4 linked regions of the Elephas maximus indicus genome follow. The protein of the gene in region 4 purifies or fractionates together with the protein of the main gene of each other region. This does not show direct contact. Links are inferred from orthologs where the notes say so. Each region holds a gene or a part of one and is shown on either strand. Other genes may lie near its edges. The genes, in order: CDC27, anaphase-promoting complex subunit 2, ANAPC1 and ANAPC15.

Region 1 (7,970 bases), on a different chromosome or scaffold from region 4:
CAACTTGAATATATCAGCTTTTGGGAATGCAGATCAAAGTCAAATGCCTACTAATTTATTAGTTTCACATAAAATATATTCAGAAAATTTTTTTTTACTCCTATTGCATAAAACAATTTAACTCAAACTGTTCACATGCATCTTTGACATCAGTATCTATTATCATCAGAGCCACTTTTTTTAGTTATCTAACATGATCTTCCAGAGTATACCACCCTCAATTCTAAATTACGTGAAATATGGTACTTTGAATCCATGTTAGATGCTTTCCCTGGACATCTGACCCCAAGCTAAAAGTACTCCTACACTATCTAGTGATCTCCACATTGACACTGTACATATAGTACCCATGTACTACACTCCTTATGAAGGTGATTTCTGAGGCATGTTTAAACTTCATCCGACACTTCTAACTACGAAGTGCTCCCCCAGGAATAACTGTTAAATCTATATGGCTTTGCCTTTTTATGAAAAACCAATTTCATCGGGTGACTTTTATAAACAGCCAGCCCAGTACTGACTAAAGTCATTTAGAGTAATGTGTCTTCCCCCAAACAGTTACTATTAAAAATAAAATAACTGATAGAGCTTCTGCCTCATAATATGAGAGATTTTTATAAAAACTCAAATATAATAATTTTCTATGAGAGGTAATTTGGCAGAGGAGTGACTCCATCATATTTAGGCACATATACTATATCAGACTGACTCTTCCAAGCTAAAACTTTAAAGGAAAAAAAAAGTAGAAAATATTTGCTCATCTTTCCTCTCAATTTTTTCCTTTGCTGAGTAATACTATGAACCCTGAGGCATCCCAATAAAGGAAACAAAGTAATTTTCCAACTTACTCCCACTCCTTCCCAGATATATGCACATTATACTTTAAAAAAATATTTATAAAAACAAATCATATCCATCAGTCCTATTTTTATTCTCTTCCATAGTAATTCTTTCCCATTTTCAGCGCTATCCTTCATAATTTGATCTTTATCACCACAGCTCAAGCTGCTTGGTCCTCTCACTGCTCAAGATGCCTTCTTGAGTGGCTTCCTTTTATACTATAAATAACACCCAAAATTCTCACCTAGTCATATTCTAAAACTCATTACCACCATCCCAGAATGAACAAAGCTAGTGGGGGAAAAAGAGCTTAATTTGACTTTTAATCCTTAAAAGTATCTAAGTGCATACTGCTAAGAGTACTTTAAGAAAACAGAAAAACCTGATGGGCACTATCTTGGAATAGGCTACCTATTTCTTTTCTTTTCCATGCTTTTATACAGGTTGGTATTATTACTAAATAGTAGTTCTATGCCATTAATGAAACTGTTTTACCACTTAGAAGTTTCTGGGGTCAGAGAAAACAAATGATAAGAAGATAAAAATCACAAGCATATGAAACAGAAATTAGGCAATTTAAGTAATATGTTTAGCTATTTAAGAAGGTACAGATAGCAACTTCTAATCTCCTGTTAGGTCCAAAAAACTCTTAAAAGGGATTCTTTATTAGTAAGAGGAATTTGAATGGAAAGAAATAACTTTCGAAGCAATGGTAGAACTAACTTGTAAACAAGTAAATTTCCTACAATAGAATCCCACAATACATCAATTTGAACACTAATAGCTGCTATATGTAAAGAGCTAGAGAAGAAGGCAAACTAGGAGAAATGAGTATTTCATGCCATGAAGAAAAACTAAGGAAATATGGAAGTAGTGATGTATTAAAGTATTTACTATTAGATACCACAGGCCTATTAGGGACAATATGAAGTAACTTCTAAAAACCAGTTCACTTTGTAACTCTAAAATAAAGAAAATCCACTACTCAATGACAGCAGTTGATAGAGGTCAACTCTTCCAATCAAGTCAAAGATCATATGGTGGGTTGAAAGTCCCCCAAACCTGGTCGATCACCAAGGGACACAAGATTCAGTTTCTTCGATGGAAGGAGGAAAATGACTTGGCACTGCATTCCACACTTAAAATCCAGTAGGCTTTCTTTGATGCCAACAGAGCACTGTGTGTCAAAGCATACCTTGCTATGTTGAAGACAATGAAATGGAAAAGCCATTACTAGTCTTTCGTTTCCCAAACAGTTTATAAACGTGCACGATAAAATACTCCTGACCCTCATCACAGGTAGTGGGGGGGGTAAAAAAACCTCCCGGACTTGGTGTTTCTACCCCCCCTTCCTTTTGGATAGGTGCTTGCACCTCAGCACTGGCCTTAAGAGCTCTCTTCTTGGAATTGTCCTGTGGAAAATTCACTCAATGAGAAAAGCAACGTGGACTAGAAAGGCTGTGACCAAAACAGAAATTAGTATTAAAAATGCCGATCTTACCCTCCCCTTCCACCCTCTCATGTAAAACAAAAACAACCCCCGCAAACTTGCCCCACACCATTATGAGGATCACACAAGCTCCGATCAAAGGTGATTCTCAACTGCCCTTCAGGCAGGAGAACACCTGGGGCGAGTTTTCGGCCCCTCATCTCTCACCCCCGGCTCGGCCAGGCCCCTAGACTGACAGGAGGGGCTGGCCAGACGTCGGCTCCGAGGGGAAAGGCGGTATTGTAGCCGCACCCTGCTCAGGTTAGGGTAGAAGTATTGTAGGACCGGGGTGTCAAGGTTTAGGTTGCGGGCAAGGCCGCCGCACTGACGAAGGGACAGGCAGGAGCCGGCATCAGGGGAGGCGGGAGAAGCAGCCCGGCCTAGGCCGCACCAGGCCGCGGAGTGGCCATACGCTGCTTCCTGGCCGAGGCTGCGAGCCGAGCTTCGAAGAAGGGGTTATCATTACCTGGACGGGTTCCTGCAGCACCGTCATCCTTGAGGCTCAAGCCCACTTTCTGCTGTGCCTCAGGCCCCCCCCCGTAGCGGCTCCGGCCCGGCCAGCCCCGGCTCATTTAAACTCACCAGCGACCGTTACCGGGGGATGGGGGAGGCCGAGCAATTGCCGAGTCCCTCCGAGCGAGACACGGAAATACCCGAAGTGAAAAGCGACGAGCGGGAGCTAGACGGGAAGGCCCGAAAGGGACCGGAAATAGCCGAGGAGAAGTGGCGGCGGAGGAGACCGTTGCCGGAAACTGTCGAGGATTACCGGAGTTTACCGAGACGGACCCAGAGCAAAGGTTCGCCATCTCAGCCACGCCCCCACCCGCCCACGTCACGCCCCATTGGCCACCAGAAGGCCGGGCCACACCCAATCGGCAACCACCAGGGTGGGCGAGGCTTGACGGAACTGAAGGGGCGCGTTACTTGGTGGGGCTGTAGTTTCGATTCGCTACTCTTTCTGCATTAGTTGGCGCGCGGTAATTTTAAGCAAAGAGTAGAATCCTAAGAGTTTGGAGCTGACGTTAATTAACCAAGAAGTATTTGTGTGTTGAGTTTAGTAGTCACTCTGTCCCAGCTCAGAGGAATATCGCCAGAAATTTGGAAGGATCGCCCTCCCGAAAGAGTATGGCCTTAAGGAAATTACAGTCTACTTAAAAAAAAAAAAGGTTTTTTTCTTTTTTTAAGGGAAAAGCAGTGTAACAAAGAGCACTACATTATGTGGTGCTCATTAGAAATGATGTGAAAATTCAGAGGCGAGGGAAATTAATCGGGACTGAAGATGAAGTTTTCATGAAAGGAAATTTAAACTGGACTTGAAAGGATGGGTAGTAGTAGAAGAAAAGAAAGCGTGTGTAAGTGAAGGGAGGAAGAGCTACCAGTCTGGTAAGAGTTAAGGCATTAACTGGAAATAGTTACCTAGGTGACCAGATGATGGAGAATCTCAAAAGGTGTGATAGGAGAGGCATTCTCATCTATCGGAAAGAGCGTGGGATTGAAAATCCAGAGTTCTGGTTTTGAATTTCATCTCTGGCACTAACTGGCTTTGGGTCCTTAGGCAAGTCACAACTTTTCTGAGCTTCTATTTGCTTGGTCTGAGAAAAAAATGAAAGACTAAAAGAATTATGTACGTTAATATATGTGGCTGTGTCTAGTACACATACGCTCTCTCAAAGTTCCTTTCTGCCAAATGAAAAATGAGGGGGTCAGGGAACTACTAAAACTTTGTTTTGTTTTTCAGAAGATGAAAAATTTTTTAAGGTTAATTGTCTAAGTGCATCTGTAGGCTAGTTGTAGCACTCACGGTGCACTCCATTTTGCAGAAAATCCTCTTTCTGGTTCTCACATTTTTATGCAGATGAAATCAAGTTAGAAGTGGGGGTGCTACTTAAAATGTGGAAGTGGTTTTGTAATTGGGTAATGGATGAAGGCTGGAAGAGTTTTAAGGTGCCTAATTGTAAAAGCCTAGATTACCTTGAAGAGAGTGTTGGTAGAATTACGGATGTCAAAAGCAGTTCCGGTGAGGGCTCAACAGGAAGTGAGAGCTATTGGGGAAGTCTCTATCATCTTAGAGAAGAGACAGGGACCTTCCTCCAGAATGGGCAGGGAGAGAATGCCTTCTCCTAGAGCCAAAGCCAGCAGCCTGAATTTGGACATCTAGCCTCCCAAGCTGTGAGAAAATAAGTTTCTGTTTGTTAAAGCCACCCATTTGTGGTATTTCTGTTATAGCAGCACTAGATAACTAAGACAGGGCCCCCTTCCTTTTGGTGATGTCGGAGGGAGGTCTTTTTAAAAAACCAAAAACCACCAGCTGATAGAGCTGTATCTTTCTCTAACCATGTCTAGTTACTGTTTATGTACTTGTAGTCTTGTAAAAGACAGGTCCTAAGGTGATTTTCTGCTGCCCTGTGCCTTGTTCTTTTAGCAAGATTATGTTAAACTAAAGAAGCCCTGGCAGTGAAAATGGTTAAGTGCTCGGCTGCTGACTTAATGGTTCTGTGAGTGAAAGACCTGGTGATCTGCTCCCATAAAGATAACAGCCAAGAAAGCCCAATGGGGTAGTTCACTCCATAACATATGGGATTGCTATAAATTGGAATCAACTCGATAGCACCCAGCAACATGTTAGATTAATTAGAATGGGAATAGACTTCTACTTTGTCCAATACGGTATTGTTATTGTTCGCTGACTCGTAGCAACCCATTATGACCGAGTAGAACTGCCCCATAAGGTTTCCTAGGCTATAATCTTTCTGGGAGCAGATCACCAGGTCTTTCTCTCACAGAGCTGTTGGGTGAGTTCAAACCACCAACCTTTCAGTTAGCAGCTGAACGCTTAACCTTTGCACCACCAGGGCTCCTTTCCAATATGGTGGTCACCAGCTATTTAAAGTTTAATTAATTAAAATTAAATTAGAAACTTAGTTCTTCAGTGGCCTGAGCCACATTCTAAGGTCTTATAGACATAAATGGCTGCAATATTGGACAATACAGATGTAGAACATTACCATTGTTGCAGAAAGTTCTATCAGATAGCACTGGAAAAAAAAAATTAATGATACTAGTTAAAATTTAATGAGCATTTACCATGTTCCCAGCACTATTCCAAACTCTTTGGATTAATTCTTTTAACAACTTAACAGAGGTAGGTTCTGTTTTTAGCTGCATTTTATAGATGAAGAAAATGAAGGTAAATAATTTCCCCAAGGTCAAACAAATAGATTCAAACTCAGGCAATCTGGCTTCACCTTCCATACTTAAGGACCATGCTATGCCATGGAGAATAATTTATAAACCAAACCCCATCCAGTCAATTCTAACTCATAAGGATCCTATAGATGATGGATAATAATTAGGAGCTCATATTAGTGATCCTGGTGTTTCAGTTGCCTGTTGATCTTCTTTCCCTACACACTCACCCCAAAACTTAGTGGCTTATAACTGTAGCCATTTTATTGTTCATGATTCTGTGAATGAGGGATTCAGGCAGAGTTCTGTGGGGCAGCTCATTCTGGCTCCATGTGGTGTGTTTGACTGGGGCTGGAAGATCCAAGATGGTTTCACTTGTCTGGGATCTTGGTGCTAGCAGTTGGCTGCACCCCTCAGTTCTCTTCCAGGTGACCTTTTTCCTCACGTGGTCTGTCGTCTATCCCCAGCTTCTTGACTTGAGTGGCTGACAACCAAGAAGACAAAAACAGAAACTGCAAGACCCCTTAAGGCCTAGGTTTTAAGTCAAACCCCATCACTTTTTGTTGGTCAGAATAAGACGGAGGGCCAGCCCGTATTCATTAGGAAGAGGAACAGACTCCACCTTTTGATTCAAGGATTGACAAAGTGTTGCTGCCAAAGGCTTGTGAGATGGGAGGGATTGCTGGGCTATCTTTGGAAACAATCTACCACACCAGATCTGAGATGACATCTCCTGATAGTGGGCATGGAAAGAAAGGGATGGATAAGAGATGTTACTTTTTAAAATTTGACCGTTTTAACTAAACACAAGGTATCTTTGGGTGGCACAAACAATTAAGCACTCAACTACTAGCTGAAAGGTTGGCAGCTCAAATGCACCCAGAGGCACCTCAGAAGACAGGCCAGGAGATCTGCTTCTGAAAGGTCACAGCCTTGAACATTCTATGGAGCAGTTCTACTCTGGATATATGGGGTCACCATGAGTTGGAATTGACTCGACAACAATAACAACGATTAAATACTCCAGATTTGTTCTGATCAGTTCAGAATGCAGAATGTTATGGATAGAATCATGTCCCCCCAAAATGTGTGTCAACTCGGCTAGTCCATGATTCCCAGTATTGTCATCTGATGTTATTTTGCTATGTGTTGTAAATCCTACCTCCATGGTATTAATGAAGCAGGATTAGTGCTAGCCATGTTAATGAAGCAGGACTCAATCTACAAGATTAAGTTGTGTCTTTAGTCAATCTCTTTTGAGATATAAAAGATAGAAGTGAGTAGAGAGACATGGGAACCTCCTATCACCAACAATCAAGATCCAGGAGAAAGGCGCGTCCTTTGGACCCAGGGTGCCAATACTTGAAAAGCTCCTTGATGGGGAAATATTGATGACAAAGACTTTCCCCCAGAGCCTATAGAGAGAGAAAGCCTCCCTCTGAAGCTGACATCCTGAATTGGGACTTCTAGCTTCCTAGACCATGAGAGAATAAATTTCTCTTGGTTAAAGCCATCCACTTATGGTTTTTCTGTTACAGCAGCACTAGATAGCTAAGATACAGTATGACTATTACTTTTATTATCTGGACACTTCTATTATGGAGACTAAAATTACATTTGCATTTTTTAGCAGCCACATCACATGTTTGCTAATGTTAACCTTGTGGTCACTTTACAAATCCAGCTCTTTTCCACACAACATACTGCCAACCCAGGTCTTATATTTGTGCAATGGATTTTTTGCAAACCTAAATGTAGAACCTTATTACACAGGATACATAAAGATGATTCTTTATGTGTAAAAATGTGTATCTAGAATGAACATTTAAAGAGTCTGTTGTCCTTGACACTCTAGCTATTAAACTTGGAATTTGCCTAAAGCCTTTTTATTCCTAAAATAAAAACAAAACAAATGAAAAATCATTTCTTTCCTGACTGTTTGTTGCTCACCCAGCTAATACATCTGTTGTGGTTTTCTAATCAGCCATAGCAAGGCCACATTGTTTGATGTTGTGCTTTGATGGGATCTTTTAGAGCATTTTTGCTTCCTTCTCTGTTCTTTTTTTTTTTTTTTTTAAATTTTTCCCGCTTCTTTGTTCTGGATTGTTCTGTTAAAACTCACTACTCAGGAACATTTGGATATCTGGCTATCATCCATTACCAACATTATGTTAGCTGGTGAGTGAAGTTGAGTTGCAATAAGCATTATTCCCCAAATGGTAAACTATCTCTTCTCCTAAGCCTGCTTCTGGATTTATTTCATGTTCAGTCAGATTTAGGAAACCAGGCATTTAGGGAACTATTCAAGAAGGTAGACGTGGTATCAAACGTGCAAAATGCACTGAAGAGTAGCCCAGAGCAAGCGTGCTCTTCCTCTGAATTCCTTTATTCCTCCTTGTCTGCAGCCTTCGTCTTGTCCCTATTGTATACTGTCTTCTATCCTTCTTTTTTTCAC
Region 2 (7,381 bases), on a different chromosome or scaffold from region 4:
TGGGATATTACCCACCAGGCCTGACCCCCGCCTGGGTCTTGCTGATGGGTGTCTCCTGCCTCCAGATGAAGATCTCCTTCAACGACAAGAGCCTGCAGACCACATTCGAGTACCCCTCTGAGAGCTCCCTGGTGCAGGAGGAGGAGGCGGCCGAGGAGCCAGAGGAGGAGGGGGAGGACGAGGGGTCCGGCTCAGAGGGGGCAGCCGAGGAGAAGCCCTTTGTGCTCTTCCTGCCCCGGGCCACCTTCGTGAACAGCGTGGGGCCCGAGAGCCCTCGGCTGCCAGGTGGTAGCCCAGGTGAGTGCCCACCTGTGAGGGTGGCAGTGGGGGAGGGCAGTGCTGGGATCCCAGGTCCTCATACTGCGCCTATGACCCACAGACCTGTCCAGCTACACTCCAAAGCACTCGGTGGCCTTCAGCAAGTGGCAGGAGCAGACAGCAGAGCTGGTTCCGTGCGAGGTGGAGCCCCTTCCTAAGGAGATCATGGTGAGTGGGGGCTGGAGGGTACCAAGGGGCAGGGCCAGAGAGGGTCTTGAACGCCTGGACAAGCCAGCAGCCTCAGCCATCCCCTCTTTCTCCCAGCTCACTCCTGCCGGCCAGAATGACCTCTCGGACTTCCGCAGTGAGCCGGCCCTCTATTTCTGATCCTTCAGGATGATGGGTAGAACCCTGGTGCAGGTGGTGGGGCCAGCAGTTCCCAGGAGCCCGCCTTCACTCTGTCCCCACCCCTTACCAGGCTCCCTTGCCACAATGTACCACCTTCTGCCCTGCAAGGGCAGCCAGGTGCTCAGGGCCTGCACTGGGGCTCCTGGGTTCTTCCCATGGGTCTGTCTGGGTCTCACTTCCTTTGGATGGGCTCCAAAGTAGAGAGCGGTGTGGGGCCCAGGGGTCCGGCTGGATGGCGCCCCTGTCTGTCCTGGTGGGGGCCTGAGCGGACTCTGGCCCAGGTTACCCTCTGTCCTGCCAAGCCCTGGCTCCTCATCCTGCCCAGTTGCACTGTGAAGGGGCTCTCCCCTGCAGGGGCTCCCTGGCCCACCCCTAGCCCAGCCAGCACTGACCCCCAAGGCTGAGCCTGGCCCTGCTTCTTGAGTGGTAAACGGGAAGTCTTTCCTGAGGAACGGACTAAATAAACAGCACTGGACACTGCCGCCTCGGTCTCTGGGTGGTCCCTCCTGTTGGGCATTCAGGGTTCAGGGGTTGGGGTTCCACGGAGCACATCTGCTGGGGGCCCACTGGGGGGTGGGGGAGGGGAGGGACCTTGTAGATGGGCACCTGTGGCCAAGTAGGAGGTACCTGTTGGCCTCTCACAATCTCCACAGCCCCAGCTCTCCCCCACCATTCTCTCACCCAGCTGCCCTGTGTCGCCTCTCGGTCAGTGTCGGGAGCGCCTGGTGCAGCACCCCCACCTAGAGCTGGCAACTTTAGGAGGCAGGATGCTGGGCCTTCCATCTGAGATTGGGAATTCTTTGTGTGCCAGGACCTGAGTTGGTTCCCTGAAGAGTTAGGGGCAAGGAGCCCGAGAGGGGTTGAAGAGCAAGGGCTGAGTATGGGCCCACGGGTGGTCTGGGGCAGGGCAGAGCCCTGGAGATCTTGGCTTTGTTTGGCTTGGAAAAGTCCTAACCCAGCAGAGCCCACACAGTGGCAGGCAGGCAGGCAGATGTGGGTGCCTGGGGTGGGCGCTAGTGCTGGCAGGAAAAACCGAAGTATGTCAAGAGGTGGGAAAGCCGAGGTGGGGGCCCCCACACTGGAGCAGCTCCTGGCTGGGCTGGGGGCCCAGATATCCTCGCTGCCACGTGCAGGCTGAGCCGGGCTGTTTACAAATCCACAGGCAGGACCGACCAAGCATTGAGTCTGAATACCTGTTTCCTTCCTGGGGAGTTAGGGAGTCAAACTTATGAATGAGCAAGTGGGACCAGGTTTGGGACAAAGGGCAGCATGTTGGTGTGTTCTCTCTCCTCTCAACAACATGTGTCTCCCCAAGGCACCCAGCCACAGGCCTGGGTTGCTGCAGTGCTAGGACCCCAGGGTGGAGGATATGCCAGCGAAGGTAGGGTTGGAGAGGTCTGGGGATGAAGGATGGGGCCCAGCAGCGCAGGGAAGAAGAGAAGTGGACAGAAAGGGTGTGAAGCTATAAGGCCTGTGTTCAGAGGAACCAGCGTCCAGAAGGGGGCTGGCGTGCACACTCAGCCATTTCCAACTGTCCTTGGGCCCGGCTATGGTGTGGCAGAGAGCACGACCAGCAGATGAAGGCCCTCAGAGAAGGATGGGCTGTGTCCTGGATTTGGGGGAAAGTAAGTGGGGGTCGGGTGAGACAGGGATAGAGCAAGTGGCCGTAGGTGAAGCAAAGGTCTGGGGCTGACATCTGCAGGTAGGCGGAGGAGGGTCATGGGAGATGCCCAGTGGCACCCTCTGCATCTGAGACTGGGGCTCTCAGTCACAGGGAAAACCACTCCAAGTCCCCTTTCCCTGCCCCGCCCCATGGAGGAGCCACCATACCCAGCCAGAACCTTTGTGGGCTAGCTCTGGGGGTGGCAAGCAGCCCCATGTACTCGACACAGGCACAAGCCAGCACGATTCTTTACAAAGAAAGCCTTTATTCACACAGTCACGGGGCACTAGGAACAAGCTCTGAGGTCTCAGTTCTGAGGCAGAAGAGGGCCCAACCACTACCTCACTTGCCTGGGCCCCTGCTGGCCAAGGAGGGACAAGGGAGGCAGAAGTCCTGGGGGTTGAGACTAGAACCAGCAGCACAGGGAGGCGTGGAGGTTTTGGAGTGCCCTCCCCAATTGCTGCCTGCTGGGAGCACCACGGAGCCAGATCCCTGCCTGGTAGGCTACTTTTCTCATCCAGAGCTAACAAAGGCTGCAGCTGCCTTGATACCAAAGACAGGAAAAGAAGGTGGCTGCTGCCATACAGAACAAAGACGCTTTATTAACAGGTTTCCTGGGGGCCAAGTAGCCTGGCCCACCCATGGCCTCGTCAACTGTCCTTGCCCCCACTGGCCTTCTGCTCCGAAGCCGTGGCCTTGGTCAGGTTCCCAGCTTCTCTCTTCAGGACACTAAGCAGAGTCTGGGAGCTCTCCAGGATCTGAGACCAAAGAAAACACAGGCTGGTCATTGATGCTCCCGCCTGGGGGGTACCCGGGGACAGGCAGGGCCTGCAGGGGCCTCTTCCCTCCCCAGGTCTGGCCAGTGCTTTGTTCTCTGCCGGCCCCCCGTCCATCACACACCGAGCAGAGTGAACCTCAGGAACAACCGTGGTAGGAGAACATGGGCTGGGACACACCATGTTCCACAGACAGCATTCTCCTTTCCTCAGTGGGCCCAGCCGAGATGTGGGGAAGATGCAGACTGCTCGCTGGGACCCCTTGCTCCCACAACTGAATGCCCCTGTGCTGAGCCAGGGTCCGGGGAGGGGAAGGGAAGCCTCTACTCAGGAAAGCCCCCAGTCCTGAACCCCCTAGGCACTCAACGCTTGCCCACACAAGGGATCGGCCTGGCCTGTGGCCCCAGCTGCCTCGAGTCCCACCTTGAGGTAGGCAGCTTCCGTCTCCGCGATGGTCCGGTCAAACTCGTTTCGAGAGGCGATCTTTCGAGCCAGGTTCTCATTGACCCGGGCCAGCTTCTCCGTCAGCTGCCTCACCTCGTTCTGCAGCCGCTGCTTCTCGTCCTCTTCCTGCTGGATCTGGCGGCACAGCTCCTCGCGCTTCTGGGACAACTCCTCGATGCCTGGGGCGGCAGGAAGGAGAGCAAGGTCCTGGCTAGGCCGCCTTCCCTCCAAGGAGGGCCAGAGTCCTGCCTCTCGGGGGCCTCTGGATACAATAAGGCGGTGGACGTGGGCGACAGCGCTGTGCCTGGGAGGTAGTGCTCACTACAAACACGCGGCACTCAGTGCGCACTCGGTGCGCACCAGGCGCTCTCCCACGCGCCTTCCACGCACAGTGACCGAGCTGGGCGGGTCCTAATGTACCGCTAGGCCCACCCTGGGGCCAGGAGGCCACGCACGGACTCGGCGCGACACTTGCCCACGGCCACGCAACTGCTTGGCGGCCGCGCGCCTACTGCCTGGGGCCCCGCCGCTGGGCCGCCGCCTCCAGCGCCCCGCTGCGCCCGGGCGGCTGTGCCAACGCTGGCCCAGGCCCCTCCGCGGGCTACGACCGCCCGGGCTACACGGCGCGGGACGTGCTCACACTTGACCAGCTCGTTGTTGTAGTTCTGCAGCGCCGCTCCCTGCTGAGTCATCGTCCCGGACACTCGCCCCTCCGCCGCCGCCGCGGGGATCCCGGTCACTCCAACCGCCGCCGCCGAGCACTCGCCTGCGCCTGCGCAGTGCGCACCGAGAGCGCGCCGACCTGCAACGTCATCGCCGCGCGCCTCTTTTGCGTCATCGCCCTGCGCCGCGCCCGGCCCGTGCGTCAAGGAGCCGCGCTGATCCGGGCGGACCCGGGAGCCGGTGGGCCCAGATGGCTGCAGAGGCGGCGGGGGCGAAGGGGGACTGCGACCCCGCGCCCGGACAGGAGCTGTTGGTGGCCTGGAACACCGTGAGCACCGGGCTGGTGCCGCCGGCTGCGCTGGGGCTGGTGAGGCCCGGAAGAGAACGGCGGGCTCGCGCGCGGTCCCCGCGAAGCTTTAGGGCCTCCGCCTCTGTCCATCGCCCGTCTCTGCCCTCCCGCCCTCCTCCACAGTCCCGCATCTTTCGGCTCCCTTGCCAGCCCTTCCCAGCGTCGGCGCCACATCGGCGCGCTGCGGCCGAGGAGCGGCGGGGCTCGCGCAGCCTCCCCTCCGCTGCACTGCCCGCCTTTCCCGCCTGCCGCTCCCCTCCCCCGCCACGTCCACTCGCAGCTCTGCGTTCCCCTCTCCTCACGGTTGTCTGCACTGTAGGCGTCCTCTCGGACCAGCGGTGCGGTCCAGCCAAAGGAGGAGGAGCTCCGGGCGGCTGTGGAGGTTCTGCGGGGCCACGGCCTGCACTCAGTCCTGGAGGAGTGGTTCGTGGAGGTGCTGCAGAACGACCTGCAGGCTAACATCTCCCCCGAGTTCTGGAATGCCATCTCCCAGCGCGAGAACTCCGCGGACGAGCCCCAGTGCCTTCTGCTGCTCCTTGACGCTTTTGGCCTGTTGGAGAATCGCCTGGATCCCTACCTGCGTAGCTTAGAGCTCCTGGAGAAATGGTCTCGCCTGGGATTGCTGATGGGCACTGGCGCACAGGGGCTGCGGGAGAAGGTCCACACCATGTTGCGGGGTGTTCTGTTTTTTTCCACTCCCAGAACTTTCCAGGAGATGATCCAACGTCTCTACGGGCGCTTCTTGAGAGTCTATATGCAGAGTAAGAGGAAGGGGGAAGGAGGCACCGACCCAGAACTGGAGGGGGAGTTGGATAGCCGATATGCTCGCCGCCGTTACTACCGGCTCCTGCAGAGCCCACTCTGTGCTGGGTGTGGCAGTGACAAGCAGCAGTGTTGGTGTCGCCAGGCCCTGGAGCAGTTCCACCAGCTCAGCCAGGTCCTGTGAGTACTATGCGTGTGGCCACGCCCCTGGGCCTCCTGATTTCCCAATTGTTCCTCTGGGTCTGGCTGCAGAGAGCTGGTCAGCTGGCCAGGGGCATCCCAGAGGGAGGGGGCCCTGGCACCCTTGGATGGTGAGTTTTGAGCCTTTGGTCTTGGACCAGTTGTATCTCTTTAGTTTTTGTGCACAGCCCAGGAGTTGACACTTTGCCCACACTGAGACCCTATGTGACTTGTGCGTGCAGCAGATTTCTGTCCCCATTCCAAACTTACTGGCTCCCCAGAATTCTGCTGTACTGCCTGTAGGCTAACGGGAGTGTACGTAGCCTGTGATTGTGGTTGCTGTGCCAGTGGGTAACAAACAGGGGGCTCACCATTTCTTCTGTGCTGAGCGTGTCAGGCAGGCAGATTTGTGTCCCCATTCTCTGGGAAGGAGTTCTTGTTGGCTGCAGCCAGGCTCTGCTGTCTGCTCCCTCCAGCGCGGTTATGATTTCTGTCATGTTGAGCAAAGTGGTTGCGATGCCGTTGTTTGGAAGGGGTCTCTTAGTTAGATTTGGATCAAGGGAGTGGTCCCGCTGCTGCCAAGGGCCCTAGAGGCCCTGAAGGGCTTCTGCTAGGCTCATCCCAGTTGAAGGTTGTATGGAACGCTCTTTCTTGTTTCCTCGTGAGTAGCTTTATTTTTCTAGACCAGCGTTCGTGCTGAAAGGTGCAGACGGTGGTATCTATGTTTACGTGGCCCGGGTAGCAGTGATTCAGTTGCTGTTTCCGAGCCAGGCCAGGGAGATGGGGCTTGGGCCTCTGGTAGCTCCCCTGCCGCCACTTCCTACGGGAATGGCCATCACCCCAGTCTGGGCAGTCCAGCTGGGCAGGCCAAATGGCACCTCGCCAGTGCTCTGTTCTCCCAGCAGCTTTTCCACAGAGCCCTGGCACAGCTGACACTGCACACACTCGTCTGTTCTCAGACACAGACTCAGTTTGCTGGAACGGGTCAGTGCCGAGGCTGTGACCACCACGCTGCACCAGGTGACCCGGGAGAGGATGGAGGACCGCTGCCGGGGCGAGTACGAACGCTCCTTCCTACGGGAGTTCCACAAGGTATCGCCGCCTTTGCTCCGTCCCCTTTGGAAGTGTGCCAAAGTGCAGAGACGGAGTGGGCTGGGACCTCGAAGGTAGTTGAGGCCATTCCGGGGGCTGCACTGATCATGTTGCATCCACGACGTGCTGGGTGAAGTCTTAGCGGAATCACACGGTTCGAGGCAGTGCCAGGGCCAAGCAGCGGTGTGGCCAGGCCCACCTGAGAGGGACAGACTGATCTCCTTTTAGCTGCGCCCCCCGGGGACTGACCCCTTGCAGCCAGCCTGCATCCCAGCATGGCCTGCGCACCCCCATGGGGCAGAGGAGGAGGGGCAGGAAGAGAAGAGCAGCCAGGGCAATGGGGGAGACTGGGGAGACAGCCTGGCAAGGTGGGGTCGTATCCCAGGGTGGGCCTCATGGTACTGTGCCATCCACAGACAGGCTTGGGGCTCTCCCAGAGCTGGCGGAGAGCTGGGACCAACCGTCGTGGCTCCCTGCTTTTCACCTGTTCTCACTCCGCCATTTCTGAGGGTCGCTCTCCAAAAATGACGGTTAGCATGGTTGAAGGAGGTACAATAGGGGTCCTCCAAGCAGTGGGCAAGAGTGGTCATGAGCCCTGGCAGCCCAGCTGGGACGAAGTGCAGATTCCCAGATACTGGAGTGAGCCGGGGACTCAAGGCGCAGCAGCCCAGGGCAGCTTGGGCTGTCTCTGTGGTGTTAACCCCACCCACGTCTGGGACGCCTCTCAGCAGGATCACACGTACACACACACACAGGAGTGACTTTGTCCCGCACTGCTTTGTTTGT
Region 3 (7,324 bases), on a different chromosome or scaffold from region 4:
GCCATCTTTGGAGAGCTAAGGAAGGTCAAAGAGCAGTCACACTCTGCTCCTCTGTGCGTGTGGAGCCTGCAAAGGAGAAGGGGACTAGATAGTACTTCACTACTGCCTCAATCTTATCTCATGTTGACAGGGTGGGTTCCTGTTTACCCAAATTTTGGATGGTAATCTTTTAAAAGCTAGTTTGTTCCACCAGCACAGTTAACCTTATCTGTTTCAGAAGGTCTGAGTGGAGACAGCTGCGAGGGCTCAGAGGCGAGGAAAAGCCCTTGTATAAAGGGGCTCCACACATCCCACGTTTCACTCCCTTGGCTAAAAAGGGTAGTTTAAGGCCTTAAACTTACTTATCAGATAGATATTAGAGACTATACTAGGCAGCTTCTGAGATGGTACCCAATGGTACCTGCTTCCTTGTGTAATCTCCTTCCCTCAAGTGTAACTTGCTTCTAACCCTCCAAGGGGATGGAATGTCACTCCTGTGATTAGATTATATAAGACCGTGACTTACATCTTGCTAGCAGACCCTCAGAAATAAACGGCCATGTTGGGGAGCTCCACATGGCAAGGAACTGTGAGTGGCCTCTAGGAGCTGAGGTGGCCTCTGGCTGACAGCAAAAATTTGAGGCCCTCAGTCTTACAACCACAAGGAACTGAATTCTGAGTAAGCCTCAAAGGACACAAAACCCCAGCCAACTCATTGCGTGCAATCTGTTGAGACTTTAAGCAGAGGACTGAGCTAGGCCATGCTTGGACTCCTGACCCACAGAAATGGTGACATAAAAAATGTGTGTTGTTTTAAGCCATAAAGTTTCTGCTACTATTATTATGCAGCAAATGATAATAATACAGTCTTATATTTTGCAAAAAATTGATTAAAATTTAGAAATAGGGATTTTATTGTTTTTTTTGCATAGCAATTATATATGTGGAGTTTTGCTAATTATCGGGGGTGTTTACACCAACAGAAGAGATCTATTTTATAATACTGGGTATACCTGTGACAACTGTTTTTTAGTATGTGTCATGGATTGAGTTATGTCCCCCCAAAAATGTGTGTATCGATTTGGTTAGGCCATGATTCCCAGTATTGTGTGGTTGTCCTCCATTTTGGGACTGTAATTTTATGTTGAGAGGATTAGGGTGGGATTGTAACACCACCCTTACTCAGGTCACCTCCCTGATCCAAAGTCAAGGGAGTTTCCCTGGGGTGTGGCCTGCACCACCTTTAATCTCTCAAGAGATAAAAAGAAAGGGAAGCAAGCAGAGAGTTGGGGACCTCAAGCCACCAAGACAGCAGTCCCGGGAGCTGACCGCTTCCTTTGGATCTGACATTCCTGTGCTGAGATGCTCCCAGTCCAAGGGAAGACTGATGCATCACAAGGACTTTCCTCCAGGGCCGACAGAGAGAGAAAGCTTTCCCCTGGAGTTGGCATCCTGAATTCAGACTTCTGGCCTACTGGACTGTGAGAGAATAAACTTCTCTTTGTTAAAGCCATCCACTTGTGATATTTCTGTTACAGCAGCACTAGATGACTAAGACAGTATGCTTCAGTTGACTTCAAGTTTTGTGAATCATATACTAGAAAATTGAATATATTCATAAAATATGGTTGTTAACCCACTTACCATATAAATGAACTGGCAGTGAACTCTATTATTTTCCCTTTCCTTTGTACCCTGACTTTTGGGTCCTTTGTATCCAAAATGTAATTTCAGGAACTCTTAAGGTAATTTGAGGAGGCCTGGTAGTGCAGTGGTTAAAGAACTCAGCTGCCAACCAAAAGGTCAGCTGTTTGAACTCACCAGCTGCTCCACTGAAGAAATATGTGGCAATCTGCTTCTGTAAAGGCTGTAGCCTTAGAAACCCTATGAGGCAGTTCCACTCTGTGCATTAGGGTCATTATGAATTGGAATCAACTTGATGGCAATGGATTTTTAAGGTAGTTTATTTGGAAGCCACAGTTAAAGTGCAGTGAGTTGGCTGTCTGGCCTAGGAAACTCCTGGATTTATGGTTCGAGCCCCATGAGCAGAGGGGTTAGTGGCAGAAGCAGAAGGATTTGCTTACTTAAGAAACTGTCAGATCATGAGTCCAAGTAATGCTGTTAGTGACAACGCTGTTAGACCGATGTCTGACCATGAGTGTTGCAAGGAGCAGTGGGGCCAGTTCTGCTGTTCTGCAGGGAACACAGCAATGTTCTAGCCCCAAAGGACTGACTGGTGGTCTCTGGGAGTACTGGAGGGGAGCTATCGGTGTAGACCCTGGTGTCCTCACAGTGGACATCATCAGGTAAGGCCTCAGGGAGGCCCCTTAAGAAAATTTCTTGAGCAGGCAAGATAACTTGAACAGGCAAGGGAAAAAGCTGGGTAAATCCTTTCAGTGACTCTACTTCACAGCTGGATAATTAGCAGTATAAAAACACTCTTTGTGGACTGTACTGCCTGAATTCCTTAGAAAAGGGAGCCAGAGGCAAGAATGATTAGTGCTGATGCTTCATGTGGGTGGTTCAATCTCTAGACCGAAGAGAATGAATGAAATGGGAAAATGAGGCAGGGGAGCTTGAGAAGTAATGCACTGGATTCTGCTTCATGGGACGCCAAAGCCTCAGCAGACTGCCTGGCAGGTGCGCCACTCTGCCGCACAGGACATGTCCTGACAGGTATGCAGAAAAACCAGGCCTTAGAGTAGTTCACAGGAGGGAGGAAGAAAAGGGATTTTATACATCTGGCTCCTTCCTGCTTGTTCCTATTGATGGACATTTGCCTTGATCACAAATTACTCCCTATACTTTAGGTTATGTCTTCTGGCCCTTTCATAAGGCAGCTGCCATTCCCTGTGGGGGAGGCAGGAGAAGCCATAGTTGAGTTTTAGGGAGTGCCACGCATTGTCCTGGCTTCACAGCAGCAGCCAACGGAGAGGGCTTTGTCCTCTGTGGCGAGTGCCTGGTAGTGGGGCTGACAGGACTAGTGCAACCATGGGTGGCCTTTGGGGCAGGCCATGGTGGCAGCTGAGGTGGACAAGAGGCTGAGGATCTGGAGGATGGTGGCAATAAGAGACTCTGAGATGCATCTGAGGTGTGTCCTGGTGCAGGTTCTACCAGAAAGACCTGGTGGAGAAGGAAGGTAGGGACCCTGTGGGGGGAAATACATAAAGGATAAGAGAGGGCATTTGGGATATGATTGTTAACTTGACCTCATTTTATCGTCGAGCCAGGAAAGTCTGGTGGTATTTTGATTTCAGGTAAATGACTGGTGAAAGGCAGTTGTGCCCAAAGTTCTGAGAAACGAAAGGCTCCTTCCTGTTGGTGTGAAGCCTCCTGAGAAGAGACACTTGAGCTGAACCCTGAAGGGTGACATGCTAAGTAAGGCATGGCAATGAATACAGAGAGTAAGGCCATGAAGTGCAAGGTGTGTTTGGGGAATCCCAGTAGATGCTTTTAGCGAAGTCATAAAGTTTTAGCCAACTTTACATTTCTGGGTAAGCATTTGAAGTTTATTCCTAAGCACTAAGAGGCCTGTCAATAGTTTTAACTTGGCAATACGGGATTGTTGTTGTTAGCTGCTGTAAAGTCAGACTGACTCATGGGAACTCTATGCATTACAGAGTAGAACTCCTCCACAGGGTTTTCTTGTCTGTAATCTTTACAGAAGGAGATCCTCAGGCCTTTCTTTCATGGCGCTTCCATGGTTCCAACCACCAACCTTAGGTTAGCAACGCATTGCAAACCGCTCGTGCCACCCTGGCTCCTAATTGGGATTAGAGCTCAAGAAAGTTTCTGGTTTCCATAAATGTGATATTGTACAGTTGAACCCAGACAGGGAGGGGGGGTAAGGCTGGAGTTCTTAACCTGGGTCTCTGAATCACCTGTGAACCTCTGAAATTGCACGTTTTTTGTTAGAGCCTTCATACCTTTCACCAACTTTTCAAGGAGTCTGGATGCCTTGTGGTGCAGATTCACTCACGTAGAACGAAGATGAGCAGGGCCCCAGAGCCTGGAGGCACGTACCTCCATTTGGGGCCAAGGAGGCAGAAGCAAAAGCAGCCAGAAAATCTCATAACTCAGAGTCAGGTGGCAGTTCAAGCTCGTAGTGACATGATCTAGAGAAGATCTGCGTCAGGAGGGTGCCATCACACGTAGATTCTTGGAGTCGCTCCCGCTTCGGGACTCAGTGCTGCCTCTTAAGGCGGTTGGAGGTAAGGTCTTCGTGTTCTTCAGGCAACTGCGCAGGCGCCAAGGCCGCCGGGCGCCGCGCGCCTCCCGCGGTGCCCGAACCGCCCCGGCGCGAGGGAAGACGGGAAAGTCAAGATGGTCGTGTCAATTTAAACAGCTTCCGGAGCTGCTCGCCGGCACGTCAGCCTGCTGTTAGCTGTCGCGCCTGGTACTGCAGCCCCTTTTGCCTCCGGAGTAGGGGAGAGAGAGGGATGAGAATCAACGAAGGCTGAGGAGTCACCGTGACCGACCCCGCCGCTGTCCTCAGGCCCCTCCGGCCCCCGCGCCTCCGGGGAGCAGCCGAGGCTCGCCGCGCCTGACGCGTCCCGAGTCACACAGGTGCGGGTGCGGGGCTGCGGAGCCCAGCGGTCCACCTCCCGCCGCGCGCCCCGGGACCCTCATCCCCGCCCCGATGCCGGCCGGTGCCTGCTGACCAGAGGGCTGGGAGGCGGGTGGTGGGCTCCGACGGCCTTGAGGGCTGTACTTTTTGGGTGCGCCTTCCCGGTCTCCTCCTCGCTAACCAGTCTCTCGATGAAGCCCAATCCCTCTGAGCGGATTCTCTGAGGCCTGGGTTCTTAGCCCGCTGCCTTAGTCGCCTGCCAGAGGGGCCGAGAAGCTTTGTCTTTTTGCTGAGACTCAAGCCAGGGATCGTTGTGTGCACACCGTTCAGTCTTACGTTAGGTTCTGTTAGACTTTTAGGGGGAGAAATTGGTCACAAACTCATTGTTAGGCCAGCCCTCTGCTCCCTTTTCAGGATGATCTTTTAATCTCATGTAGGAAAAATTTTGATTTTTGTCATATTAATTTAACATAGTACGTTTCTGTATAGCTTTTTGTGTTGCCACTAAGTCAAGTAAAAACACATTTATAAAAGTTCGGGGTACTGTGAAAGTATTAAATTTGTGTTCATAATCTCAGAACGAAAGTAATGTACTGGGAAAGTAATTCTAGAGTTTTCCCTGCAGTGAAAAGAGAATAACGTTACAAAATTACACGAACTTGGATAAAGTCACAAGTTCTTTTATATCGGTTATCCTTTGGAACAGGGTATAGGAAGACCAGCTGAATTTTGTTATTGTAAGTTTTATAAAGCGTTATTTTAGTTATGTCCAAAGTTGAAGTGACTTTGTTCTCAGTACTGATTTCTAGCAGTAGAGAAGAAACGAACTTGGGTTGTGTTTTGCACTGTACAGTAATCTCAGGACTACCTTTTAATTCACAGTGGAGTAACTTAACCACTCTAAAGGAACTGCACAGGCTTTGAGGTGTTTGTGCAGCACAGAAAACAAACAACTGATGCCAAAAAGACCTGAGATGAGAAGTCTCAGCCAAATCTAATGAAATCCTCTTACTTGTGAGCACTGTTTTAAAATGTGCTTTCTAAAAGTTGTCTACGGTGCTGACATTGGATGTTTGCCTTGACGTTTGTGTTTGAGGATTGCAGCCTAAATATGATGCCATGAGATCCATTTTTAAGGCAGTCCTGTTGCAGACAGAACCGAAATCCACCTCGTATGCCATGTTATGCAGTGTCAGAATTTTACCAGTTGTCAGTTACTTATGTAGAAATATTTGGGAGGTAGAGGGGCACGTCTTGACCCACAGCTCATTCAAATCTGCCAGTAAATCTAATAAACTGCAATAAATTTTGCTAATTAAAAGCTAGGACTCTTAAATCTGCTGTTAAGTCAGATATAAGCCTTCTGTTTCATGGGTAGAGTTACGTATGCCTTGGTTCCCTGGGTTTGGACCAGTAAGTGGGGTGTAGTTATAGATTTAGGTGGAATTGGGGTGTCAAAACTACTGATGACATTTTGATAGCTTATTAGATCTTTTGTGGATTGGTTAACTGAAAGCAGTAGTTCAACCTCTGATGAATTAGAGTAATATGTTTTATCTCATTCCAAATGCCATCAAGCCTTTAGGTGTGCTTTTTGAATTAGACTCCAGTATCTGAGCAGAAATGACCTTGAATGTTGAGAAGCCATGCAGTCGTGGGACCATAAAGTACAATGTGTTTTCATACCTTCTGTGTGAAGTATAGAAACGTTATGGGGTAGCTGTGGGACATGAGTGCTTGTCTTGACTCAATGGTTTCCTACAGTGGTAGGTTTATTTTTCAGCTAGTGTGTGACTAACGTGACATCTACCTGTGAGAGTCAGATCTGGAATGCCCTTTGATGTCAGGATTACTTATATACCGACAACAAAATGGAATTATTTGATACTCATCAAAAGATTGATGACTGTAAACTCTTATGGTATTTTTAGTCTGATTTTGACTCTAGAAGCTCACCAGAATGTGTTTGAATTCCTACAGAAATAATGTTGATATTTGGAACCCATGTCGAACGTCTATGAAGAAAGGGCAACGATGATTGCAGCCAGGGATTTGCAGGAATTTGTCCCTTTTGGTCGAGACCACTGCAAGCACCATCCCAATGCTTTGAACCTTCAGCTTCGCCAGCTGCAGCCAGCCTCTGAGCTATGGTCCTCTGATGGTGCTGCTGGCTTGGTGGGATCCCTTCAGGAGGTCACAATCCACGAGAAACAGAAGGTTCCATTAATTTTCCCATCATATTTTTGTAGAGTGATGTAATATAATTGTAATTTAAGGCTCCCCTTAAATTGCAACTGAGAAATGAGTATAATGTTACTTCTAGGGTGGTGGTTAAAACTTGGCCATTTCCATCAAGGCTAAGATAATGACTTTATTGTATCAGTGTCATGGCTACTTATTTTGTCATATGTAACTCACTGTGATTTTATGATGAGAATCAAGCTCTTTACTGTGATTGTGCACCATTTAAAATCTCTTTTTACTTAGTTTGTACTGACTGGATCTCATGTTATTTGGGGATGAGTTGGGAGAGGTTTAGAAATAGCCCCTGATGAAAAAGACCTACATGTTTTTAGAGGAGAGAAGAAATATCATGTCAGTAGGTAGAGCAGTAGTTCTTAAGTAGGGAAATGTAAAATAAGTGTGTCAGAAAATCATAACCCCTGTCACCTTACTCCATTTTCATATGTCCCATTGGGGAATACCAAAATCTCAGGGAGGGGAAGTCTGAATATAAAACTCACTCTCTTCCAGTTAGACAAGGCAAGATGTATGTAT
Region 4 (8,126 bases):
GGATCAGAGGAGACAGCAGACACTGGGTTAGAGGCCCTCCAAGAGGGGCTGAGTGCAAGCTGACCAGAGGAAATGGCATAGGCGCCTTCCTCAGCCCCAACCCACCTGGCCAATTAGGTCTTGCCTGAAGTCCCTTCAACGCCCTCTCCCCAAAGCCCAAGAGAAGACATTAGGCTCCTCTGGGCCTCACGAAGTGATAGAGAATAGAAAAAGGGGGAAAAAAAAAATCAATCAGTCCTGTGTCTTTATTAAAGAGAGTTAGAAATAGACCAGACCTGGCAGCCAAGGGGAGAGGTACTGGCCAGGAAAGTGGGGTGGGCTCAGGCCCTGGGGATTCGAGGGCAGGCTGATGGCCTGGGAGAGGCCAAGGAGATCAGGTCCTACCAGCAGCTGCAGAGGTGTCCGAAATTAAGGTTTCAGGCACTGGAACTGTCAGCTGGTTCTGCAAGGGGTGCAGTGTGGGGTGGGCTGGCCTGGGATCTCCTTGTGGACATTCCTTTCCTGTCTACCTAGATCATCCACTGGTCCTGATCCTGCTCGTTGCCTTCCATGTCCACCTGAGGAGGAGGCTGGTGTGGGTGGGAAGGGGCCTCAGCCACCCAGCCAGCCCAGGTCCAAGGGCCTCATCCACTCTGCCCCCAGTTGGATCCAGGATTTCTGCATCCCTTGGTCACCAATTAGGTCATAGGAAGGGGCTAAGGAACAGAGGCCCTCCCTCTACACCCCTACTTACCTCATTGACCTCTCCATCATCAGGTGACTCGTTGTAGTCATTCATCTCATCCATGTCCTGCATGTCCTCGTCATCCTCTGAGTCCTCCTCACTATCTTCGTCATCTTCATCGTCCTCCTCCTCCTCATCATCATAGTGCTGGTGGGGCAGAGGAGAGCCTGTGGGCATTATAGGCCTGCCCAGACCAGTTCAAGGGTGGCCCACTTACAGCCTCTCTCTGGGGCCAGTGACTGATCCCCCAACTCCCTAACGCTGTCCACATCAGGTCTAGCAGGCTGGTACATGTTCTGCAGGACCTTAGTGTGGGAGACAAGAGACCAGCCCTCCACTGGCCCTAGTGCCCACCCCCTCTAACTCCTCTTTCTGGTCCTCACCCAGATTGCTCTGGGACCAGAGGCAGGACCTTGGAAATTAGGGGAGAGCCTTGGCCCACCCTGGGCCCCACACCATCCCTACCTGCTGGAGCCACTTACCTCTGAGGCCGGCTTCCCAATAGGCACGAGGTTGTTATCTTTTTCTGCAATGCTCTGGAGCTATGGCCAAAGGGAGAGGGGAGCATGGCCAGGGCCCTATCAGGGCAGATCAGGAGCATGGGACTGGCCCATTTTGCCCTCAAGAAGACCCCCAAGTGTGGCAGGGGAGATACTTCTTCCATTCTCAGGAAGATCCAATTCCCTTCTTTCCATCTGCCACTTATTTATGAACTTGATCCAACTACTTAAACTCTCTGGGCCTTGGTTTCCTCATAGGATTACAGTGAGGGTGAAGTAAGAGGATATCGGCCTAGAACATCTGCGAGGTCTTCAATAAGTAATCAAAATTATTTCCTGTGCTTTAGGAAAACGAGCCTGGACTAAGTGTTAGAAATGTGGGGCTCCAGTCTGGCCCAGAGGTCCCACAGTCCCCTAGCAACTCAGGGCAGGGCATAGCTGAGAACCTAGGCCCCCAGGGCTCCCAGCTCCAGATTCTTCCTAGCTCAGGACAAAAAGCTACCCCAGGGCAGGTCTCCAGAACAAAGCAACGTCATGGTCCAGTAGAAGGGAGGGTCCCTGACTGAGGTGCCCACTATTGTGTCCCTACCAGACTAAATCCTCACTCACCCAGGCCTGATGCTGCTGTTCCTGCTGTTGCAGTTCTGTCTCCTCCACACAGGGTCGATCCAGATTAAACCAGAGTGTCTCCGTCACACGAGGAAAGAGTGAGGGGAACAAAGTGGACATGGCTCCTAGACTGAGGGAAAAGATCAGGTGAATCCAACTCTCAGAAGTGGGTTTTTTTGTTTGATAGGGGGTTGGGGTATAGTTGAAGGTAGCAGGGAAGCAGCCCTTCTGTCTGGGAATCAGTTAGACCTGGATTTGAGTCCTGGCTCCACCACTTACTAGCTGTTTGACCTTGGACAAGTCACTTAACCTCTCTGAGCCTCAGTTTCCTCATCTGTAAAATGGGGATAATAATAATCATACCACCTTTCTAGTTATTCTGATAATAAAACAATGGATTTTAAAAGCTCTTTGTAAGCTGTTCAAGGAGGAAAGAGAATGGGAGACAAGTGTAGAGACAAGAATTCAAAATGCAGACTGGAATTATAAAATTAAAATAGGGGTCTCTACTTCCTCCTTCATATACTGAAAACCTTTCTGCCTCTCCATGATGGAAACCCTGGTGGTGTAGTGGTTAAGTGCTATGGCTGCTAACCAAAAGGTTGGCAGTTTGAATCCACCAGGTACTCCTTGGAAACTCTATGCGGCAGTTCTGTTCTGCCCTATAGGGTCACTTTGAGTCAGAATCGATGCAACTTTGTTTTTAAAATGATGGTCCGTACCACACCCACCTAGTGTCAGAAATTTTGGACACTAAATCACCTCTCACATGGACCACAGCCAAATGCGGGAGTACCACGTGCAAGCAGGGATTCAGTTAGACATTTCAGAAGGCGTGAGTAAATGAGCTGACACACGGATAAATAGACGGGAAATTGAATGGATGAACACGCTAAAAAAAAAAAATCAAGTAAATTCAGCTCTGACTGAGCAGTGAGGGACCCGGCCAGGAAGGTCTGAGAGAGTCTGAATTAAAACCTTTCAGCTCACAAACGGGAAAACTGAGGCCCAGAGAGAGGCTGCGATTGGCTGTAGGCCACACAGTCAGTCCGATCTCAGAACTCCCGAGGAAAAAGGACCCAGGCCAGGCACTAGGGGAGACAAGCAGGAGAGAAGGATCTATATCTAATCCTGCTTTTGCTCTGATTCATTTGACCGATCCAAGGGCAGCCGCTGCCCTTCTCGGGAACTCAGTTTCCAGTCCGCGCAACGGGTAGGAAACCATTCACCCTCACCTCCCAGAGGAACTGAGAGGCCAGAGACCACTGCTCTGAAAGCCCAACCCACCGCTCATTCTTCCAGAGAGTTGTTTGCTTATTACGATAATACGGTGGAGTTGACCAACGAGGAGAGGGCAGGGGCGGGACTCGGACAGGAGTGTGCCCTTATAGGGTTGCTAATCGCGAAAGGAGCTGGGTGTGGGAAGGGCCAATTGACTGGAAGAACTGTCGGGTGACAGGAAGTGACACCAATGAATGACGGATCTTGTACGGCAGGGTGGGGCTTAGTCTCGAGGAAGCGGCCAATGAGCTGAAGGCCCATGAGGATAAAAGCGAATGTGGAACTCTTGAGGAGACGGGTCAAGAGATACGGGTTTCTTTGGGGAAGGGAGGAAGAAACGCGCGAAGAAACAACAGCCATAGCCTGCTTCTGTACTTACCGCGCCACTAGGCGGCAGCCGGCGGCGACCCGGAAGCACTTCTTCCTGCCTGAGCGGAAGAACCCGCCAAAATTCCGGGACACACCAAACGCATGCGTCTTTGGCTTTCTTAGTTTCCCGCTCCCGCCCCACCTGACCGGATGTGACGTTGACACACCTTGGTTACGTTAGGGGAGGAAATTTGCCACGCCAGCTCCATGGGCCCCGCCTTCAATTTTAGCCAATCGACCTCTCCATCCTGGCCCCGCCCCAACGGCTCATTTAATCCCTCCACTTTGTTACCCGGGCTATGCTGTGTTTGCTTGTCAACCCCTGCTGAGAAATAGCTGCCGGGGTTGCTGCATTAGTAGCAGGAAATTTGCCTGCTTGTAGCCCAGAGAACGGCTGGGTTATTTTAAGCGTCTTCTGTCCTTGCTCAGTCTCACTTTCCCGCTTGAACACATTCATCCATTCGTTTATGCCTTGAATAAAACTATTTGTGTCCCTACGTTTTTGTTTTTTTTTTTATATTCCAGGCCGTGCTAGAAGCTGGGGATAAATTTAAAAACGTGCTCCCTGCCCCCAAGATCTCATACAGTCCAGTGGGAACCCAGACCATGCAGTCCCGCAGTGGACTCGTTAGTCTGTTTAAGTTGCGTATTCAGTCTGACATTGGAGGTGCTGTCCAGGCTTGAGTGACTTAGTCAGCCTTAGCCACACACTCAGTTGCTGGCGAACTCAGCTACCCTCCCCTCAGTGGTTAGCCCGTCATCTCTCCTAGTCTTTTGCTGACATCTCTGTCCTAGTAACCTCTGACTCAGCCTCTTTAGAGATCCTCAAACCTTCTGGCAACAGTGTTCCTAAGAACCCAACTCCTATTCACCCTCCTGCACCTTCCAGGGCCAGCAGTCATCCACAGTCCCACTCCTGCACTGACCAGATATGTGGCCTTTGGCAATTTAAGTCCTTTTTTCCTGTCTGGTCTCAGTTTCCTCTTTAACCAGCATCATAATGTCTGTCCAGCCTCCTTTCTTTCCTGGGCTCATGTTATCTGAGGACATAACAGGTGTTTAAACAGTTGTGTATTGTGCCCATCAACTGTGGTTATGCTGCCCAGCCACTCTGGTTGTTATAATGTTTTTCCTTAAAGAGTAAAATTTACCTTATCCACCCTTTTCATTAATTCATTCATTTACTCACCCATTCATTCAACAAATACCTATCAAGTACCTTACTATATGCCAGTCATTGTTCTAAGCAGTGGGTATACAGTACTGATCAAAACAAACCAAAAAAAAAAAAAAATCCCTATCCTCATGGTGCTTCCATTTGAATGAGAGAGAATAAACAATAAAGAAATAGACAAATAAAATACATAATTTTTAGGTTGTGATAAATACTGAGAAGAAAAAAATCAGAGAAGTGGGAATAACATGTAGGAAGGAGGGAGGTGTTTTATCTTAGGTAGGGGGACCAAGGAAGAAGTCACTGAGACAGTGACTTTTGAGTAAAGGTCTGAAGGAAGAGAGGGAGAGAGAGGCCTATGCGGACATCTGGAGGACAGCATTTTTGGGAAACGAGAACAGCATGTGAAAAGAGCCTCGAGTGGCTGGAGCACAGTGTCCTATGGGGAGAGTAGTAGATGAGGGCAGAGGGGCAGCAGGTGTCAGATAGGTACAGCTTTGCAGGTCATAATAAGGACTTTGACTTTTACTCTGCTTTGGGGAGCCAGTGAAGGTTTGTTTGCAGAGGATCCACACAATCTGATTTACTTTTTTTTTTAATAGTATTTTATTATGTTTCCAGTAAAGGTTTACACAGCAGTTTCAGTTCCCATTCAACAGTTTCTACCCAAGCTGTTCAGTAACATTGGTTGCATTCTTCGCAATGTGTGAACATCTTCATTATTTCCGTTCTGGCTGTTTGTTTCCATTAATCTCGTTCTGACTTATATTTGTTGAGGGTCACTCTGGCTGTTCTATGAGTAACAGACTTCAGGAGGACAAGGGCAAAAGAAACAGGGAGACCAGTTGGAAGTCTATTGTAATAACCCAGAGGTGGCAGATGGAAGTGGTTGATTCCAGAATATATTTAGAAGGTAGACAAAGCAAGAGTTGCTGGCAGATTGGATGTACAGTATCAGAGTAGAGCCAAGCATTTTGGCCTGAAGAACTTGGAAGAATGGAGTTTCAGTTTTTTGAGAAGGGAAAGACTGGGAGGTGCTGGTTTGAGGGGAACTATCTGGAGTTCAGTATTGGCTTTGAGGTGTTGAGTTTAACATGCCTGTTAGAAATGTCAAGACACTATGGATTTGCAGGTCAGGGGAGAGATCTGGGCTGGATATATCAATTTGGGAGTCATTAACATGTAAATGGTATTTAAAAGCATGAGACTAGATGAGATCACCAAAGGAGTGAGTACAGATGGAAAATAGTTTCCTCCAGTATTCAGAATTTGAGGAAACCAGAAGCAGCAGCGGCAAACAAGACTGAGGAGGAAGGTCAAAAAAGTAGGTAGAAAGCCAGGTAAATTGGGTAGTGTCCTGAAAGCCAAGAAAACAAAGGGTTTCAGGAAGGAGGTAGTGATCCGCTATAACCTAGTTATAAACAAAATTGGGTTTATGTTTGTTTCCCCAGCAGACCATGAGATCCTTGAGGGCAGGGGCTGAGTGGTCTCTATGTCCCCAGAGTCAGCCTGGCATCTTCCATTCCCTGGTTCCCTCACGTGCTTTCCCTATGTCTCCATCAGTCTCTCCTCCTATTTTTCTTCCTTACAGATTCCTACCTCAGGCACCCTTTGCCTCCTGTCCTTCCAGATGGAAATCCCCCAATGGCCTAGAGTTTCTTTCCTAGGTCCTCAGCCAGGTTCAACAAGTCAAGGTGACTGGTTAGTTGGGGGGAGGAGGAAAGGGAAAGAGAGAAGCAGAAATTGGCGGCAACCCCCTATTTTTTGGCCCAGGCAACTGAGTTGATGATCGCATTTGCTTTACATGCATTATCCCTCAGTTATCCTTGCCAAGTGTTATGACTCTCTCTCATTTCAAGGATAAGAAAACTAAGATTGAGTAATTAAGAAATCTACCTCATTCATTCATGAGTAAATTTCATTTACTCATTCATTTGTTCCAATGGTAGGTCAATTTTATTGAGTGCCAACTGAATGTCAGACATTTTGGTAGGCCCTGGGGATACATTGATAAAAAAAAAATTGGGGGGGGGGGAATAGAGAAATGAATCAGAAATAATCCCTGCCCTAGAGAAAAATAGTCTAGTGAAAACCATGACAATTATAGAAAAGGATGGTAAATGTTAAAATCTATGTATATGCTATGGTGTTATGAGATCACAGAGGATGGGGGAATGAACGGGTTCTGAATAAACTGAGTTAAGAATGTGTTCCAGAGAAGGAAACATTTAGTGGCCTTTGAGGGATGAGTAGGAGTTCACCTGATAGGGAAGTGGTAAAAGGAGATTATCTTAGTATACTAGTGCTGCTGTAACAGAAATACCATAAAAGAAGAAGCAGGAGACCAAACTCACACTCTTTTAAAAGAGAAACTACAGAGTTTTCCTGAGGACTGGAGAGATTCATGAATCAAGATACACCGTAGCTCTTAAGCAGAGAACAGGAAGTGAGCTTTTTATAGGGTGGAGTAAACAAAAGCTTATGTGCTCCCAGGCACCAGAAGTGTATATGACAAAAAAAATCTCAACGGGGTCATTAAGCCACAATCTTTCTTAACATTAGTAATTTTATTTGTTAACATCTTGAAACATCCTGAACAAAGTATTCGGCCTAGAACATGTGTGTCAAGCTTTCTGTAACAACTGTATACCTGGTCCCATCCTCTTATCTTAAAATAACAAGCTATGCCTACAGATTTACAGACAGCCACGGAAAAGCAGAAGTAGAGCAAAGGTTTTAGGGAGTGAGTCAAAATAGAGTGTAATTTAGTACTGGGCCAGCCATTGCAGTTACACCAGGTGCCTCAGGTTTTCAGGTCTGCACACATTTCCCCCTTTTGATCAAGCCACCACTAGGGGGTGTAGATCACCCACAAGGGAGTTACCCATCTTCTGCAAGGACTTTGTATCTTGCGGATGGCTGCTCTGAGGAGCTTTTAGGACCCCAGACACCAGCTCTGTTATTAGAGGTGGCCAGGCACCGTCCCATGTTCCCTTGCTATACTTTCAGGCCTCATCTTCAGGGTGAGTTGGTCTTTGGCTGGGGTTAGTGTTGCAAACAAGGCCACATTAGAGGAACAACCTGGCATTTCTAAAAGTGTGTGATCCCAGAACTAAAATTTATTCTTCTATGAAAAATTGTTGTTGTTGTTAGGTGCTGTCGAGTCAGTTCTGACACATAGTGACCCTACGCACAACAGAATGAAATGCTACCAGGTCCTGTGCCATCCTTACAATCGTTGCTAGGCTTGAGCTCATTGTTGCAGCCACTGTGTCAATCCAGCTCGTTGAGGGTCTTCCTCTTTTCTGCTGACCCTGTACTCTGCCAAGCATGATGTCCTTCTCCAGGGACTGATCCCTCCTGACAACATGTCCAAAGTATGTAAGACGCAGTCCCGGCATCCTTGAGTCTAAGGAGCATTCTGGTTGTTCTTCTTCTAAGACAGGTTTGTTTGTTCTTTTGGCAGTCC

What was found.
Region 1: the proteins of ANAPC15 (region 4) and CDC27 purify together in Homo sapiens (affinity purification with mass spectrometry; 3 studies listed by BioGRID and IntAct, with this or other methods). This does not show direct contact. The link is inferred for Elephas maximus indicus from reciprocal best matches to the Homo sapiens genes ANAPC15 and CDC27.
Region 2: the proteins of ANAPC15 (region 4) and anaphase-promoting complex subunit 2 purify together in Homo sapiens (affinity purification with mass spectrometry; 4 studies listed by BioGRID and IntAct, with this or other methods). This does not show direct contact. The link is inferred for Elephas maximus indicus from reciprocal best matches to the Homo sapiens genes ANAPC15 and ANAPC2.
Region 3: the proteins of ANAPC15 (region 4) and ANAPC1 purify together in Homo sapiens (affinity purification with mass spectrometry; 3 studies listed by BioGRID and IntAct, with this or other methods). This does not show direct contact. The link is inferred for Elephas maximus indicus from reciprocal best matches to the Homo sapiens genes ANAPC15 and ANAPC1.

What each region holds. Positions count from the first base shown.
Region 1 is NC_064837.1:53,067,014-53,074,983, forward strand, and holds the start of CDC27 (cell division cycle protein 27 homolog), read right to left. Parts: upstream 3,069-7,970; 5' UTR 2,823-3,068; coding exon 2,796-2,822; intron 1-2,795. UniProt on the Homo sapiens protein: Component of the anaphase promoting complex/cyclosome (APC/C), a cell cycle-regulated E3 ubiquitin ligase that controls progression through mitosis and the G1 phase of the cell cycle.
Region 2 is NC_064827.1:1,039,075-1,046,455, forward strand, and holds the start of anaphase-promoting complex subunit 2, read left to right. Parts: upstream 1-4,329; 5' UTR 4,330-4,462; coding exon 4,463-4,579; intron 4,580-4,880; coding exon 4,881-5,503; intron 5,504-6,462; coding exon 6,463-6,595; intron 6,596-7,381. Other genes in the region: TPRN (taperin), read left to right, coding at 66-297, 380-486, 583-645; microtubule nucleation factor SSNA1, read right to left, coding at 2,980-3,087, 3,529-3,728, 4,190-4,241. UniProt on the Homo sapiens protein: Together with the RING-H2 protein ANAPC11, constitutes the catalytic component of the anaphase promoting complex/cyclosome (APC/C), a cell cycle-regulated E3 ubiquitin ligase that controls progression through mitosis and the G1 phase of the cell cycle.
Region 3 is NC_064835.1:40,984,929-40,992,252, reverse strand, and holds the start of ANAPC1 (anaphase-promoting complex subunit 1), read left to right. Parts: upstream 1-4,292; 5' UTR 4,293-4,545; intron 4,546-6,526; 5' UTR 6,527-6,550; coding exon 6,551-6,763; intron 6,764-7,324. UniProt on the Homo sapiens protein: Component of the anaphase promoting complex/cyclosome (APC/C), a cell cycle-regulated E3 ubiquitin ligase that controls progression through mitosis and the G1 phase of the cell cycle.
Region 4 is NC_064825.1:52,739,494-52,747,619, reverse strand, and holds ANAPC15 (anaphase-promoting complex subunit 15), read right to left. Parts: upstream 3,158-8,126; 5' UTR 3,128-3,157; coding exon 3,069-3,127; intron 1,964-3,068; coding exon 1,834-1,963; intron 1,267-1,833; coding exon 1,207-1,266; intron 872-1,206; coding exon 734-871; intron 570-733; coding exon 510-569; 3' UTR 219-509; downstream 1-218. UniProt on the Homo sapiens protein: Component of the anaphase promoting complex/cyclosome (APC/C), a cell cycle-regulated E3 ubiquitin ligase that controls progression through mitosis and the G1 phase of the cell cycle.